Struthio camelus: one gene and its partner. The protein of the gene in region 1 interacts with the protein of each later gene in a pairwise test. Links are inferred from orthologs where the notes say so. Each region holds a gene or a part of one and is shown in the gene's direction. Other genes may lie near its edges.

Evidence for each region. The genes of interacting proteins can lie anywhere in the genome.
Region 2: the proteins of RFX6 (region 1) and FRS3 interact in binary tests that used the Homo sapiens proteins (3 or more experiments, as listed by UniProt). The two-hybrid records come from large-scale screens. The link is inferred for Struthio camelus from reciprocal best matches to the Homo sapiens genes RFX6 and FRS3.

What each region holds. Positions count from the first base shown.
Region 1 is NC_090944.1:64,350,243-64,357,847, forward strand, and holds the start of RFX6 (DNA-binding protein RFX6), read left to right. Parts: upstream 1-4,520; coding exon 4,521-4,719; intron 4,720-4,995; coding exon 4,996-5,152; intron 5,153-6,977; coding exon 6,978-7,101; intron 7,102-7,605. UniProt on the Homo sapiens protein: Transcription factor required to direct islet cell differentiation during endocrine pancreas development. Specifically required for the differentiation of 4 of the 5 islet cell types and for the production of insulin.
Region 2 is NC_090965.1:6,317,281-6,325,370, reverse strand, and holds the start of FRS3 (fibroblast growth factor receptor substrate 3), read left to right. Parts: upstream 1-5,052; 5' UTR 5,053-5,181; intron 5,182-5,840; exon of another isoform or gene 5,841-5,944; intron 5,945-8,073; 5' UTR 8,074-8,090. Other genes in the region: PRICKLE4 (prickle-like protein 4), read right to left, coding at 1,135-1,203. UniProt on the Homo sapiens protein: Adapter protein that links FGF and NGF receptors to downstream signaling pathways. Involved in the activation of MAP kinases. Down-regulates ERK2 signaling by interfering with the phosphorylation and nuclear translocation of ERK2.

The sequences.
Region 1 (7,605 bases):
GTCCAGACTCTTCTCCATGCAGAAGGACAAGCAACAGGACAAGAGGCAATGGGCAGAAACTGAAACACAGGAAGTTCCATCTGAACCTGAGAAAAAACTTCTTTGCTGTGAGGGTGCCTGAGCCCTGGAACAGGCTGCCCAGAGAGGTAGTGGAGTCTCCTTCCCTGGAGATATTCAAAACCCATCTGGATGTGATCCTGGGAAATATGCTCCAGAGGACCCTGCTTGAGGAGGGGGTTGGACTAGATGATCTCCAGAGGTCCCTTCCAACCTCAGCCATTCTTTTTAAATATCTACATTTATGCAAAATATGAACTAACATGGTCTAAAACTACTGCTTCTTTGGCTTCTAAGTCACCTATAGAACATCTACCCATAATCAGCTAAATGCAATAGGATATTCCCTTCCCATCTGCTGCATTATTTGCTGAATGTTGCTATGCTCAGATTTGTCCACAGCGCAGGGAGAGATGCAGTCCATGCTGCAGAAGTCCAGGAGTCTGTCCTTTTAACCACATAGAGGCTATAGGTGGACAATAGCTTAAAACATGAGTTAGATTCTGAAGATTTGTTTTTAGCATGAAATTCATTTTGAAAATTTTGGTTTAAAAGTTCAGAAATGTGTTTGCTCTAAATGACTCAGAGCACTTTTCTAGACACAATATGAGCCTTGGAAGAGAGTACTAGGGTAAGAATGGTAAGAGATAATGAAAGCTGCATGTTTTCTTTATGAGAAATACAGTACATTTCCATCAGGTCGGATGTTTATGAGATTACAACAAACAAAAGACAACTAGTAGTTAAGTTCTGGAGGTAAAAAGTATAGCACACAGTGTGCTAGTCGTTTTGTAAGAGTCTTCTTCAGTTGTCTTAAATCAACGTTTCCCAGCAGGCAGGAGCAACCACTTCTCACGTTTAAGGTCCAGTAAAGGGAAAGTGGAGCTGCAATGCTTTGCTTATGTTGGAATAAGTGCTTCAGAATGCATTAGCAAGAGAAGTGTGCTGCAGGGAAGAGAGGTAAATAAACAAAAATGATTACAAAGATGTCACAGGAGGCAGTGTTGAAGCACAGAATCTCTGGCTCAACAGACTCTGGTAAATGGACTTGAAAATTTAAGCCGTGTGGTACACACAGAGTGCTAGGAACTGGATGGAAGCAGGAATGGTTTGAGAAAAGGCAACGAGGGCTGGGATAAGTAAGATAAACATGAAGGCCAAAGTAAAGGCAATTGTTTTTTTAGGAAGTTTACAAAACCTTGGCAGCCTCCCATGAATGGGAAAAAGCAAAGAAAATTACTTGGAGACTGCAAGCTTGTGGGCAACTACCTGAGCTTCTTGGCTTGGGTTGGCAGTCCATGTTGGCAGTTCCATGATGCCACTAAAACACCACAGGTGTACCATGCAGGTACCAGAAATGGGAAATTTACTCTGAGAAATCCCTGACTACGAAGCACGACTTACTGGCTACAGAATAAATATACTCTGAGGAATGGAAAAGAAATCTTCCGTGGCAATACAAAAGGAGAAAGAGGAAAGGTATGTTCAGTTTCCACTTTGCTGATTAAAGCACTGTTAGAAAAAAAGATTGAGCCTGCTGGGAGAAAGGAAAAGGATGTTGAAAGATCCTTTCACCAACAGCAAAGTAATGGCAATAGAAATGATGAGATTACTGCCAAAACTATCAAAAGTATTAGGAGGCAGGAGCAAATTGGAAAATGCAATGAGAACTCGTACAGTCAATTTAATTTTACTGGTTGTTTTTTATTAATGAAATGACAACGAATCAGAGAGGAGATATGATAACTGTCCTGAAATGCTTAAAAACTGATGAAAATAGAACAAGAGTAATCTTTTCTCCATGTTCTCAGATAGACAGAAAAGAGAAGCAATGGACTCAAACTGAAGTGAGTTTGTTAGACACTAGCAAACCTTTTTTACAGATAGACTAATAAATGATCTGGGAATGATGGCACTCTCCATCACTGGAAATCTTTAAAAACAGGTGAGAGGCACAGTTTTGGGAATAATATAGGTATAACTATACCTACACATAATCCTGCCTTCGTTTTGTGGAAAAGGCTGAGATGATCTCTTCCGGACTTTTAAGTGTTTCAGCACTATATTCAGCACTCCTAAAATGGGACTGAACGAGAGAATGGGAGAATAAGGACAATAAAAAATTTCAGAAATGCCATCAGAAACAAACTAGCAGAGGATAAGATACAGAGCAGGCTGACCTGAACTGGAAGATATGTGCACACTGCCAAAAGGTTTTGCATATTGTAAACCTATGAGTAGGGAGACACACCTATCCCTCCTACCGATAGGTAGGAGGGACAGAAGCATAACGACAAGAGTTATAGGCTCAGCTGAGCAGCCATCGGTGTGAGTTTGCAAAGAGATCCAGTATCAATCTCATACTTCACATAAAGTAGATTATATAACAAAAGGATTTGTTTTATTGCTGTGAGTAAATAGTTCAGACTACCAGAATTTCCCTTCACTTGCCAGGATTATCTTTTATTACTTTCATTGTCAATGATTTCATACAGAACCTTGTTGAAACATTTTGTAACTACCTTTGTAGTTTATTAAAGAGCACTGCCACCAGAGGAGAATAATTTACATTTAATTTATTGCATGTCACTTATAAAAATTCTCACTTATTCCTATTAGTTATAGAATAGATATATTTGCTCCCATATTGTAGCACTGGATGAAATACTTGTTCTCATGCATACTTTGAACATTGTGCGTTTACTTAGGACCACCGGCCTATCTGCTTTTCTTTCTTTACTGCTGCAAACATATGCTTAGTTTTATACGAAGCTGGTAACAGCACACAGCAATCTTTCACTGGCTTTGAAAGAACAAGTAGATGACTGTTTGTATGAGCCAGAAAGGATTACTAAATCCAGGGAGAACTTCTATGCTCAAAAAAGCTCTTAAAATCATCATTAATTTTAGATAAAGCTAATTAAAGCAGTGCCTGGCCCTCAGAAGGGACAGGAAGGTACTACAAATGGCTGGTTACCCCAAGGTAGAAACCAGCTGGTCCCCGGACCAGACCCCTCCTTGAGTTAATCTCTGTGTTGATCGTGGCTGTAATTCTGTTAGTTTCAGTGGAGATATTCTGAAATAATAGCAAGGGAGAATCCTGCCCTTTCACAGGAAACATTACATTTATTTTCATATTGCCAGGAAAGACAATGGCACAGTAGATTCTTCTCAGAAAAGATTCAACACAATAATTAGTAGCTGGGAGGATTTACTATACAGAGGGGATACTGATCCCTGTCGGCCAGACCCTGAAGTATTCTGCTCAGTCAAAAGTCACAGAGAAGTCAGTCTCAAATGCAATTTTGCATAACCTCAGCACAACGATGCTGAAACCAGCTGAACTGGCCCAATGAGTTATGTTGAGAACTGATGTCCTGGTGAAGAATTTAGCGTCATATATGCAGTGAGAATACTACAGGGGACACGAGAAAAATAAAGAAATGTTTGAACGGAGCAACCAGTAAATTGTACATTGTAATGTGCGCTTGAACCTGTCCAGAGTTCTGAAAAGAATCTAGAAAATGCCATGCTTGCCAAAAAAGAAGAAAAAAAGAAAAAAGAAAGAAAAGAGGGGGCTAAAAAGAAAGGAATCCCCATTTTCAATGTCCTAAAACAGTCTTGATACCAGAGCAATCCTGCCGGCCCAGTGTATCCCCAAAGGCGCTCCCCTGCCAGCCATAGCCTTGAAAGGGTGCACGGCCCTTCAGGGGGAGTCCCCGACGGCCCCGGGCACAGCAGGCCTCGCTCTGCCCGCCATGGCCTCCTCCTCCATGGGGGGCTGTGACGAGGCTGCTGCCGTGAGGAGAGCCCCAACGGCCGCCCGCTGCCCTGGCCGCCGCCGCCGCGGCATGGCGGAGGAAGAGTTACTCCCTCACGCCAGCGGGAGCCGTCGCCGGCGGGAGTTAATCATTAAGTCCCCTGCAGGTCCGCTCCGGGGCCGGCTCCCCTGAACCTCCCGGGGCTTTTAACTACGCCCCGTCGCCCCCACCCCGCCGGCCAGGCGGGACCGGCCGACCGAGCTGCGGGGAGGCAGGCAGGGGACGGGAGGCCTCCCCGCTCCCGCCTGCCAGCGCCCTCCAGGCCCGCATCCGAGGCGGAGCCCCTCGGCGGGTGCGGGGGCAGCAGCGGGGAGGAGGGAGTGGCGCCGGGCCGGCCGCCGCTCCCCCCACGCGGCAGCCACGCCGCCTCCCCGGCAGGCGCCGTAGGGCACACCTGCCCCTCGCCGCCGTCGGCTCGCCTCTCCTCCCCTCACACTGCTGCCGTCGGCGCTCGGGCGGCAGGACCGCGGCCCCGCACAAGCGGCCTTGCGCCGCCCATGCCCGCGCCCTGAGGCCGCCGCCGCGCCCGCCCCGGCCCGGCCCGGCCCGGCCCGCCCCGGCCCGTCTCGTCGCCTGCCGCCTGCCGCCGCCCATGGGCGCCGCCTGCGCCGCGGCGGGGCAGGGCAGGAGCCGGTGAGCAGCATGGCCAAGGGGCCCGAGAGAGAGGACGCTTTCCTGCACCTGCCGGCCGCGCCGGCAGTTTCCCCCGGCGCCCAGGAGGACTGCTACGCGGAGCTGCTGGCCAGAGGCTTGCTGCCCTACGCCGAGGAGGGGCTGTGCGCCGCGGCGGGCGCCGAGAGGGGGCTCCCGCAGCCGGCGCTGCCCGCCGGCATCAAGTCAGGTAAGGGCGGGCCGCGTCCCGGCGGCGTGCCCTTGTCGCCCGCCAGCCAGCACGGGGCTGGGGCGGCGGGCGGCGAGCACGGGCGGCGCCAGGAGCCCGGGCGGGGCTGCTGCCGCCTGGGGAGGCGGCGGGGAGGTCGCGCCCGGAGGCAGCGGCGGGCAGGGCGCCGGTTCAACGGGCGCCCGGGGGGCGGCGAGGGCGCCGGGACGAGCCGCCGTGCCGAAGGACCGCCCTGACGCCCTTCGGTTCCTCTTCTTTTCCCTCCCTCCCGCCCAGAAATACGTTTTAACGGCGAAGTCCTCTCCTCGGAAGAGGAGGATGCAGACGCGCCCGACGGCAAACTAAAAGCCGCGGACAAGAGCCTGTCTCCGAAGAAGAGCATCACGCAGATCATGAAGGACAAGAAGAAGCAGACGCAGCTCACCCTGCAATGGTAGGGCTCCCGCCGCGGCGCTGCCCGCCCGCGGCCCCGCCGTGGTCCCGGCTGGCGGCGCCCCGCGCCCGCCGCCACCGCCGCCGCCGCCGCCTCGGGGCCGCTGGCCCGGCCGCGGAGCGGGGGCGCTCCTGGCTGCCCGTGTGTCGCCAGCCAGGTGAACCGGCCCGGCAGTTCGCACGCCGAAGCCCTTTGCATGCCGAAAGGGACGTCTGTGGAAAAACTGAGAAGACAAGACAAATTGCATCTCACGGTTCTTTTAGAAATAGTCGTCGTGTTTGTTTGTTTGCTTGATAAGTCTCATTTACAAATCAGAACCCTTACATTTCTATTTTTTAAAGAATTTTATTAGCAGAGGTTTATTTGTTTGCGTTAGCAGATCGGTCAGGAAGTGATGGTTCTCACAATACGTGGCCGTTGATGAAAGCTCAAACTTACTGAAGCATAAAGTCGCTAACTATCAGGTTATCGTACCTGAACATATAATCCACGTCTCTAAGGCAGAATTAAAATCAATGTAGTTTGTCTTCCTGCTTGTGCAGGAATACAATGTTAATTGATGTATATTATCAGCTAACTGAAAATCTTGCAAAATGTAGAAATGAAGCATTACTTAAGAATTAAATTCGTGAATGGATGTTTTTAGTTATCCTTTAAGGCTGTAATTGCTACTATTTCATGGTCTTATAAATGTGCTTTTTACATTGTGTTCTACCATCCATAGAAGTCCTAAATTTCACTTCATTTTATCTGGGCAAAAATTAACCAAACATGAGATCAAATTCTGCAGGCATTAGTTGGTAGAGGTTACTATTAAAGCATTCTTGACACTGGGGACCGGTACTATTGAATTAAATGGGAACTCCATTACAAAATGCAACCTGTAAATCTAGGTTTTTCCTTATAACTGAAAATAAAGAGTAGTCCAGATTTCCCATTTTCCCAGTCTAGTTTACATCTGATTTCTTAGAGCAGAGAGTAAATGCTAAGGAGTTGAATATGAGGAGTCAGTGCAAAAGTATTCCATATGCAGTGTTCACTACACAGTGTTCTCTTAAACATTTATGTATTTTGAGAAATAAATTTATTACACATCATTCCAGCAGTAGCAAATAATGGAAACTGATAAAGAAAAGAAACAAGGCAAGAAAGAAATATCCAGCCATTACCAGGAGTTCAGTTCAAGGAAGAATAACTAGATTTTAGTTCAGCTATTAAGATATCATTTTAATGACCATCAATAGGCACTTTTAAGTTGTAAACTGTTTGGGAAGCTGTATACAAAATGCATCCTCTTCAGAAAATGCCATTTCTTTGATTTGCAGTATGGTTTGGTCAAGAAACAGCTTCAGGTCCAATGTGAAAATTAAAAAGCAAAACTAGGAAGAAAAGAGACATTAGCCCTGGTGTTAGGATACAGTGGGACAGCAGATGCGCGTTCAAGCCTCAGCTCTATTCAAGCAATACACTTAAATCCAAGTCTTTTATAGTGTAGTTAATGTTCTTATTTTCAGTGCCAGGCTGGCTCTTAGACAGTGATCATTTAGTTATTTATGGAAAGCAAAAACATTCAGAAATTTTAAAAGACTGATTAAGAAGAGGTACCTGGCCCCAGTTTTTCCGTATTTTGCAGCTACCCTAACCACCAAGTGTGGAGTCAGTCTCTCTGTGTTGACTCTCTTGTTTAGTAGGAACTCACCTGTGTGCTGTCATGGAAATCTTCAGTAAAATGGAAAGAAAGGGCAGTTCCAAACAGCAGAAGGAAACTAAAATGGGGAGACATACCCTGTTGCTTCTTACTCTGGCAGACTCTTTTTCTATACAGGCTGGAAGAAAACTATATTGTATGTGAAGGAGTTTGTTTACCAAGATGCATCCTTTATGCACATTATTTAGACTTCTGCAGAAAAGAGAAGCTGGAACCTGCCTGTGCTGCAACTTTTGGGAAGGTAAAAAGTAAATGTCTTCATCATTTGTTAGACTAATTCTTTGATAATATCACATTCTAGTACGCTTCACATTCTAGTACACCTGTGTCATAGTGGCTCTCAAATTCATGTTTTCTATTGCTAATGCACATGTAATCAAACCAAACTACACTTTTACATATCAAGGGATTTCATGATGACAACTTTAGGAAAAAGAAAGTGAAGTTTCCTTTAATTTTCGGTGTGAAATAACAAAAAGGCATTCTCTCCCAGAGCTTTTATTTTACAGTGACATTGGTAAGGTTCTTTCTACAAAAACAGATCTGACATGGAGGACACTTTTAATTAAACTAAAGGCTGTGTGTAAATTGAGAAGGAACACAATGAGCAATACAAGAAGGGGAATAAAAATTAATAACACAAAGAGCCCCTGAATGAAAAAATGTTGATTCATCCTCTTTTCTACCCTCCTCTACAATTAATCCTGAAATCATTTAATAAAAGTGAGATGTGAACTCTCCAAAT
Region 2 (8,090 bases), on another chromosome or scaffold:
GGGAGAGCAGAGAGGGCAGGGCCCTGGCTGCCGGGAAGCGGTGGGGCCGCGCTGGAGAGCCCAGCCCGGCTTGGCTTGATGCGATTACGCGGACGGGCAGCCGTCTGGGCTGCCGACAATTCCCTGTAATTAGCAGCAGACGGTGACAGCGGGAAGCGTCTCCCATGCTAAGGAGCCGGGCAGCTCCAGCAGGTCGGGCTCCTCCGCTCCCTGTCCCGGCCAGGGGACACCGGCGCGGCCCCTGCGCTCCCGGACGGGCCGTCCCAGCGCGTCTCCCACCCGCTGCCGCCCTCGGACCCCTGCAGCGTTTGCAAGGCTGCAAACAGCTTTTGGGCTCCCGGGTCCTGCTCTTGGCGCTGCCTTGCTCCGCGGCCCTGGAGGATTTCCTTTCCTGCTCCGAGCGCGTTTCCCACAATAGTTACAGCCCTTTGTGAAGCAGTCGCAGTTCCCGGGGTTAAAGAGGCTGAATTCACAGGGATTTGCTTTCCGGGTGCAGCCCCAGCCCCGGCTGGCAGCAGGAGCACGCGCGGGCTCCCAGCCCTCTCCTGCCAAGGTCGCAACATTAACTTGCAGTACAGCCGCCCTGGCCCATTCGCATGCAGCACAGCCTCCTCGTTTCCCGGCTCCCAACACAGACCACGTCTAATCTGCGTCTCTGCTGCAGCCTTTGGTTTTCCAGAGTCACCTCTTTCGCAGCAGCACCAAACCCTCCTCAGCTCTGCGACCACGAGGAAGTGCGATCGCTCGCCATCACCAAGAAGGCCAGATCCCATTGCAAGCACCCGAAAACGCTGGCAGCTTTTGGGCACGGAGCCGTGCATGCAACACCTCACCCACGCGGTAACCCAGTTTTGCTACAGGTCCTGTCAACACAGCTGCAACGAAGGTGCTTGGAAAGAAAGATGCAGCACAGGAAAGGTGCATCTCTCTTTTGGGGTGAGAGGAGCTGAGGTCTGGCAAGGCGAGCGCCAGCAGCTAATCCTGCCGCGCGACCGAGCCCGGCCAGCCCAGCCGGAGTCTCCGTCTCGCGTAGGCACCTGCTTTGGGACCGCGTCGCTGGAGGAGACCTTGGCCAACGCCATGGCCCGTTTGCTCCCGAGGGGACGCACCAGTGCTGCAAAGGGCTTTTCTTACTGCGTTTTCCCTGCGCTGAGGGTGCAGGCACGTCCGGTTGCCCCGTCCCGGTGAGGAGCAGTAACCCATTAACCTGCTGTAACTCAGTCATTCGTAGATCCGCGATGGGAATGGAGACCTGCCTCGCCCCCGCAGCCCCGGGGTTTGATCCCGGCGGAGCAGCGCTGGCTTCGGCCGCGGCTCCCCCGCCGGCACGACGTCCCCCGTGGGGACCCCTCGGCGGGGCGTGCTGGGTGCTGCCGCCGGCCGGAGGGCTTTCCGGACGCGGGAGCCGAGGGAAAGCCCTGCCTCGGCGTGCATCCACCTGCGTGCCCAGGGGTGCGCGAGCCCAGAGCGGCCGAGATCTGGCGGCGATAGGGCAGGCGCCGTCTCGTGCTCTCCGGGGACGTTTGCCGCAGACAAAGACCGCGGGGGTGGAGGGGGCAGCGATACTATTTTGCTTCCCCCAGTTCATTTTTCCCGCAGAGGAACCAGCCAAAATCTCTCCCAAATTCAGTTTTTCCCCCGCTTCCCTTGTCTTCCCATTTGCAACAGTCCCCAGGTGGGGAATCAGCCCGTTTCCCCTGCTTGCCCAACGTTTTCTCCTCCGGTTCGAGCTCCGCCGGCGCGCCTCCCTCCCTTCCAGCCGCCCCCAGGAAGGGCCTCGGCAGCGCGAGAAAAACCTTGGAGACAGCCGCGCGGCTCCCCTACCTGCGCCGGCTCCGCCGCCCGCTCCGGCCGGGCTCCGGCCACGGTGCCGCGCGCTCCGGCGGCCCTCGACGCTCGCCGGCCCGGCTCGCCCTACCTGCTCCGGCGGAGACGCGGGAAGCGCGGCTGAGGCTGAGCAGGGGGAAGCTTTGCAAAGCGAAAGGAAAACATCCGAGCTGAGTTAGGGAAACAATTTTTTTTTTTTTTTTTAATCTGCCTGCCCAGGAAACTGGATCTGTGTCAGCTGGGGTCCTAATTACAGGCTTTTTAGCCTAAACCTACAGAGACAGCCAATGGCAGGGAATCCCAGCAGCAGGCGGGGAGGGGAAGAGCGCAGGCTGGCGGGGGGGGGGCACGTTAACCCTCCAGGGGAACGAGCGCTCGATGACATCTGTTTTTCTCGCCGCCTCTCATTTTCCGAGCGTCCGCGCCCTTCCCTCCGTCCGTGGCTCAGTTCACCCCAGGTTGCCGTTCTGATGACTTTTATGATCCGCCGTGCTTTGTTTTCCTACCTAGATCAGAAAGAGTTGGAGCTGCATGAAAGAGGGGAAGTGCCATCACGCCCCAGTTTAGAGGTGGAGAGGCTTTGGCTGGGCTGGTGCAAAGGAGCTGGCCAGAGGCAAGGCAGGATGTCCTAGTTTTCTCAAGCCCTGAACACCTGACATGTCTCCGAAAAGCCGTTTAGACCGGCTTCAGCTGCAGCAATTGCACTGGGGCGAGAATGGGGGTGAACTTTATCGGACTTTCCGAAACCTGCCTTTCGGGGTAGGTTGTTTTTCCGCGTTTCCATGCACCATGGGATTTTTCCAGCCTGCTGCCGTGGCCGGAGGGACGGGCACAGCGACCCACCTCTGCGGGGACGCTCGCTGCCCGGGGCTGTGCCTTGGCTTGGGGCTCCACCGGCAGCTTCTGGGGGGTGGGAATTGCCTGGGTCTCCGTGGGATGGGCTCTGGGTGCATCTCACCGGGAAAGCAAGGGGAAGCTGTCAAAGGATGCTACCGCGCTCCCGCGGCAGTGCTGCTAGGAGAGGGCGTACGGGGCAGGTGTCTGTGCGTGGGTTATTGCAGCGGGTCTATAACGTTTTATATCTTCCCAGCCTGCAAAATCACCCGGGCAGGGAAAAGGAGAAGGGGGCTCCTCTCCGCACACCGCCTCTGTCCGCTCCCCCGCGGAGGCATCCCATCCAGGCTGCTCCCGAGGGAGCCTTTAAGGGGAAGTTAATCCGCGGCGCGTGGGGTTGGCGGCAGGCTGGGCTCAGCAGCTTTATCTCGGCCGTTCGCCGTTTCGGACTTTGGACCACCGGGCGGCAGGGCCCCTCCAGCGGGCGCCGCGCGCTGCAACGCTGCCGCTGCGTCGCGCTCCGTCAGCCACGCGCGCGGCGGAAAGAAAAGTACTGCAGTAACGCTCCAGTCCTCTTTGCGGGACCAGCTGGGCAAAGGGGGGTCAGGCTCAGCAGACGCTCAGGGCCTGCCCGGGCGGCACCGGGCTCTGCTCGACCCGAGCTGCCACCCTGGAAATTGCACGAGGCCCCCGCGGGCGTCACGCCAACGCGCGCCCGGGAAGCAGGGGAGGATGCTGGCCCCCCCGAGATCCTCCCTGCCGCTCAGCCGATGCGGAGCAACCTGCGGGGTCCCCACCTAAAACAGAGCGGGTTGGCGAAACCATCGCTCCCCAGCTTTGCACTGGGGCAGACTGGGAGCGCTGGAGCGTCTCGGCTGGGGAGCAGCAGCTGGAGCCCGGGACGTAACCGCAGCTGCTGCAAACGGGCAGCAGCTCCGCACGACGACAGCTCAAGCGGGGACTTGGATTGCAGAGCCATCTTCAACCCAGCTCAACTTTCCTTGTCGTCCCGGGCCCCAGCGCACCCCAACACGGGCCGTTGCGGGACCCCAAAACCGTGCTCGCCTGCAAATCGCAGTCCGAGCGGCCAGAGGGAAAAGCAGGACCGCACGGGCACGTGCTTTGCCGGGCTGCACTGGAATAGCACACGATCCCTCCCGGTTTCCCCCGTGCCCGGCAGCGTGCCGGGGCCTTGCATGTGCGCTGAGCCCCTTCGGAAGAGGCGCGTCCAGCCCGGGCCTCGCCGCCGGCCCCGCGGAGGTGCCTTGAAGGCGCTGGGCAGCGGGGCTGGAGACGTGGCACGCCGAGCCACCGGTACCGCGGCCCCCGGGCAAACGGGTCCCCCCGCGGGACGGGGCGGCAAGGGGCACGGGAGGCTGCGGGGTGCAGGCGCTCTCCTGCCTCCCAGCACCTCCTCCTGCCCCACTGACCCCCCAGCAACCCCTCCTGCCCCCCTGACCCCCCCTCCTGCCCCCCTGCCTCCCTCCTGCCCCACTGACCCCCCAGCACCCCCCTCCTGCCCTCCTGCACCCCCTCCTGCCTCCCAGCACCCCTCCTGCCCCCCTGCATCCCCTCCTGCCCCCCTGCATCCCCTCCTGCTTCACTGACCTCTCCAGCACCCTCTCCTGCCCCATTGACCCCCCAGCAACTCCCTCCTGCACCCCCTCCTGCCCCACTGACCCCTCCTGCACCCCCTCCTGCCCCATTGACCCCCAGCACTCCCTCCTGCCCCCCTGCATCCCCTCCTGCCCCACTGACCCCTCCAGCACCCCCTCCTGCCCCCGTACCCCCTCCTGCCCCACTGACCCCTCCTGCACCCCCTCCTGCCCCATTGACCCCCAGCACTCCCTCCTGCCCCCCTGCATCCCCTCCTGCCCCACTGACCCCTCCAGCACCCCCTCCTGCCCCCGTACCCCCTCCTGCCCCACTGACCCCCCTGCATCCCCTCCTGCCCCCCTATACCCCCTCCTGCCCCATTGACCCCCAGCACCCCCTCCTGCCCCCCTGTACCCCCTCCTGCCCCACTGACCCCTCCAGCACCCCTCCTGCCCTACTGACCCCACTCCAAGCACCTCTTCCTGTCCCACCCCTCTGCCCCCGCCAGCAACCCCGCCTGCCCTACTGCCTCTCCTGGCCCCGCCCCCACCCCGCCCTAGCCCCGCCCTCACCCACTCGAGCTCCGCCCCCGCTGCCTAGGCCCCGCCCCCAGCCCGGCCGACTCGCCGCGGGCCTCGCGCGCCCCCTCGCGGCCGCGCGCTGCCTTGCTGGGTCCTCCCAGCCGGAGACGCTCTAGGCGGCGGCCGGCGGACTCGCTGCTCCCGGCGGGCCCCGGCCCGGGCTGGGGGGACGCGGCGGTGGCGGGGCCCGACCCGGACCCGGTCCCGGTCCCGGACCCGGTCCCGGACCCGGCGGACTGGGCAGGGCACGGGCCGGGCCGGGGCCGGCTGGCAAGCGGGGGCCGGCGTAGCGCGCCGGGCCCGGCCCTCGGTTCCCGGACGGCGGAGCCGGGCAGCGCCTCAGGTACCGACCCCGGCCTGGGCCCGGGCCCGGCCCCGCCACCTCTTCCCGGGGGGCCCTGCCCCATTGCCCCCCCATTGTCCCCTTGCCCTTCCCCCCCGGTGCCCCCCTACCCCGCTGCCTCCTTGCCCCCCTGCACACCCTCCCTTTCCACTGCGCCCCCTTCCCCCCGCTGCCCCCCCCCTTGCGCAGCCCCCTCTATACCCCACTTGCCCCATCGCTCCCTCGCACCCCCTTGCCCGCCGCCCCCTCGCACAGCCCCGTGCCCTCCCACCCCCTCCCCACGACCCTGCGGGCCCCTTCCTCGCCCCCAGCTCTCGCACCCCCCTCCTTACGGCAGCCCCTCTCGCCCCAGAGGTGCCCTGCTGCAGCGGGACGGGGTACGCTTGCAGCCCCTTTCGTCCTCCCTAACCCCCATACGGGTGGCTGCTGGGGGAGGCAGCGGGTCTGTCCATACTGGGCATCAGAAGGGCGCTTGTGGGGAGCCGGGTGCGTGCGCACGCAAAGCATCCTCGTGAAATGCGATCAGTGTGGGTTTCCCCCCCCCCCGCCATGCGCTTTGCTCCCGGTGCCAGCGGGACTGGGGTGCTTGGAGCAGGTGCCTGGGTCACCTGGGGTTAGACGGACCCTCTTCTGCGTCGCTAGGTGTAAGACAATTGAGCACAGGGGCATGGAAGGGGCTTCTGCAGGCTTGGAGGTGCGGAGGGCGTCTCTCCGTAGAAGTTTCGCAAGGAGAGCGAGCAACCTGGCTATGAAATAGGAAGAGGTGAGCTCTGGTTCGGAGAGCGGACTGAAGAGAGGTGTGAAGACTTCTAGGAGGGTTTAGGTTTGGGTCCTGTAGCTTGGGAGGGGAATGGGACTGCTGATCTTGGGAGGCACGTGCTCTCGCTTTTGGAGAAGCGTATGGTGCTGTTAGTATATTTGGTTCAAGTCATAAAGGTTTTGAAGTTGCAAACGCAGCCATCAGAAAGGTGTGTGTTGAAAGCGCTGAGCAGGGGACTGGAGCCTTGAGACTCTCGGTATTTGTATGAAAGGGATGCAGCTAAAATAATTCAAGAGTGAGGAGCAGCTGAAAGTATGAAGGGAGTCCTTGGGGATTTCACTATGTTTTTTTCTCATTTATTCAGTTCTGACCGTAATAACAATTCAGGGTAGGCCACAGCACTCCTTCCTAAACCCGTTGCAGGTTAGACAGGTGAGGGGTGAAGGAAGCACCAGAGGGGGAGAGGAATAAAGAAGGAAGAGGGGGCAAAGGTAACATGTTTTGTGCAAGATATTTTTTACCAAGGGAATTGATAAGGTGGAGAACAAGGCCCCTAGTGACCAGATTAGATGAAACAGAGCAGTCTGTTGCTAAATTATTGATGAAAACTTGTAAAGTCAGCTGGGAGTAAATCCATACTGACTCTAGAAAAACAAATAGGACAACTTGAACAGGATGCTCTGTTGAACAGGGAGCGCGTGGCATCGTTATGATTGGGGTGACTGGTGTGTGCGAAAAGGCAGGCAGCCAGTTGATTTGGGATGAAGCTCCTCCAACTTGCTCAGAAGGAAGTCAACAGGTTCTGGAGGACTTTGAAGGATTAGGACAGAGTTGGGAATTCTTCAGGGGTCAAAGTTAGGGCAGTATGATGTGGAATTGCCATGGAAGGTCATTTAGATCGTGTTTTGGAGCAAAAAATGAAACGGGGGTCCTTGGTCAGCTCCCTGCCAGCTCTGCCCCATGCCTTCACGACACTGTGCAGTTACGCGGCACGCTGTCTGGAAGTCTGAGGGCAGTTTGTGTAATGTGGTTTTGCACACAGATACAACTCCATGATTCATTGTTTAATTTGGAGCGACTGGTGAGGCAGACTCTGGCATGCCAGAGTGAGAGATTTCCAATAGCCTTTTCATTTTACTTACTGTTGTAGTGCCAGGCTGGTTATCCATATGGCTTTCTCCTCTCACGCCTCAGATGGAGAGATCATTCGGTATTCTTGCCAAATAAAGCATGGCATCCTGTTGTATTATCTGCTGCTGATTCTAGCGCCTTAGAGTTGACACGAAGTTTGTTAAGACTGCGTCAGAGATACAAACGCTAGTAGTAAGAAAAACTGGTAACTCCTGCGTGCTTGCACTCTCTGAAAAAGACTAGATAACTGTGCCTTTTTATTTTCTGGCATTTGTTCCTTTTCATAGTTCAACATACAACAGCTGTTGTGTTCGTTTGCTTTTAAGGCTGCTTGTTCTCTGACCCTTAAGGACCGTCCATCTAATGACGATGTCTTCACGTTCCTAAGCAGCAGATGCATGCGATTTCTCACATCCTTAAAGCCATCTGCCATTCAGTATTATTGTTGTATTTTATTTGTATTACGGTACCTCTGATAAACTGCACTCCTGGATAGGATCTTCAAAGTCAAGAAGTAAAATAGCTCTTATTTTTAGGTGTGTGTGTGTGTGTGTTTGTTTGTTTGTTTAGCCAAAGACTGCATATTTTCAGAAGTTACATCTTTGAAAATACTTTGCAGACTTTGCCCATTGGGCTGCAAATGGTTTCAGGTGCTGCGAGTGTCTGTACTGAGTTCTTGATGACATATGTTTGCTAGAAAATGGGCACAAACGGTGATGAAGATTAAGTCTCACTAGCTGTGCAAAATCAGTGCAAGTGTGCATCTGAACACGTGATGTCTGTGTTTGATGTGCTGTGTGTTTTAGGAGTGGTCTATGCAAAATTATTTTCTGTGTTCATTTAAATGCAGGTAGTTAATTTAAAAAATGTACGCTTTCCTTCCGTGTGGTATTTGAGGGAGATTCCGTGACACCTCTCCCCTCCCCATTTCCTGTTGTTATTCTCTGTCTTTTATCTGTTGATCTATCTGTTGATCTATTTAATTGTATTCTTCTTGTCAGGTAGAAGATGGGGCGGT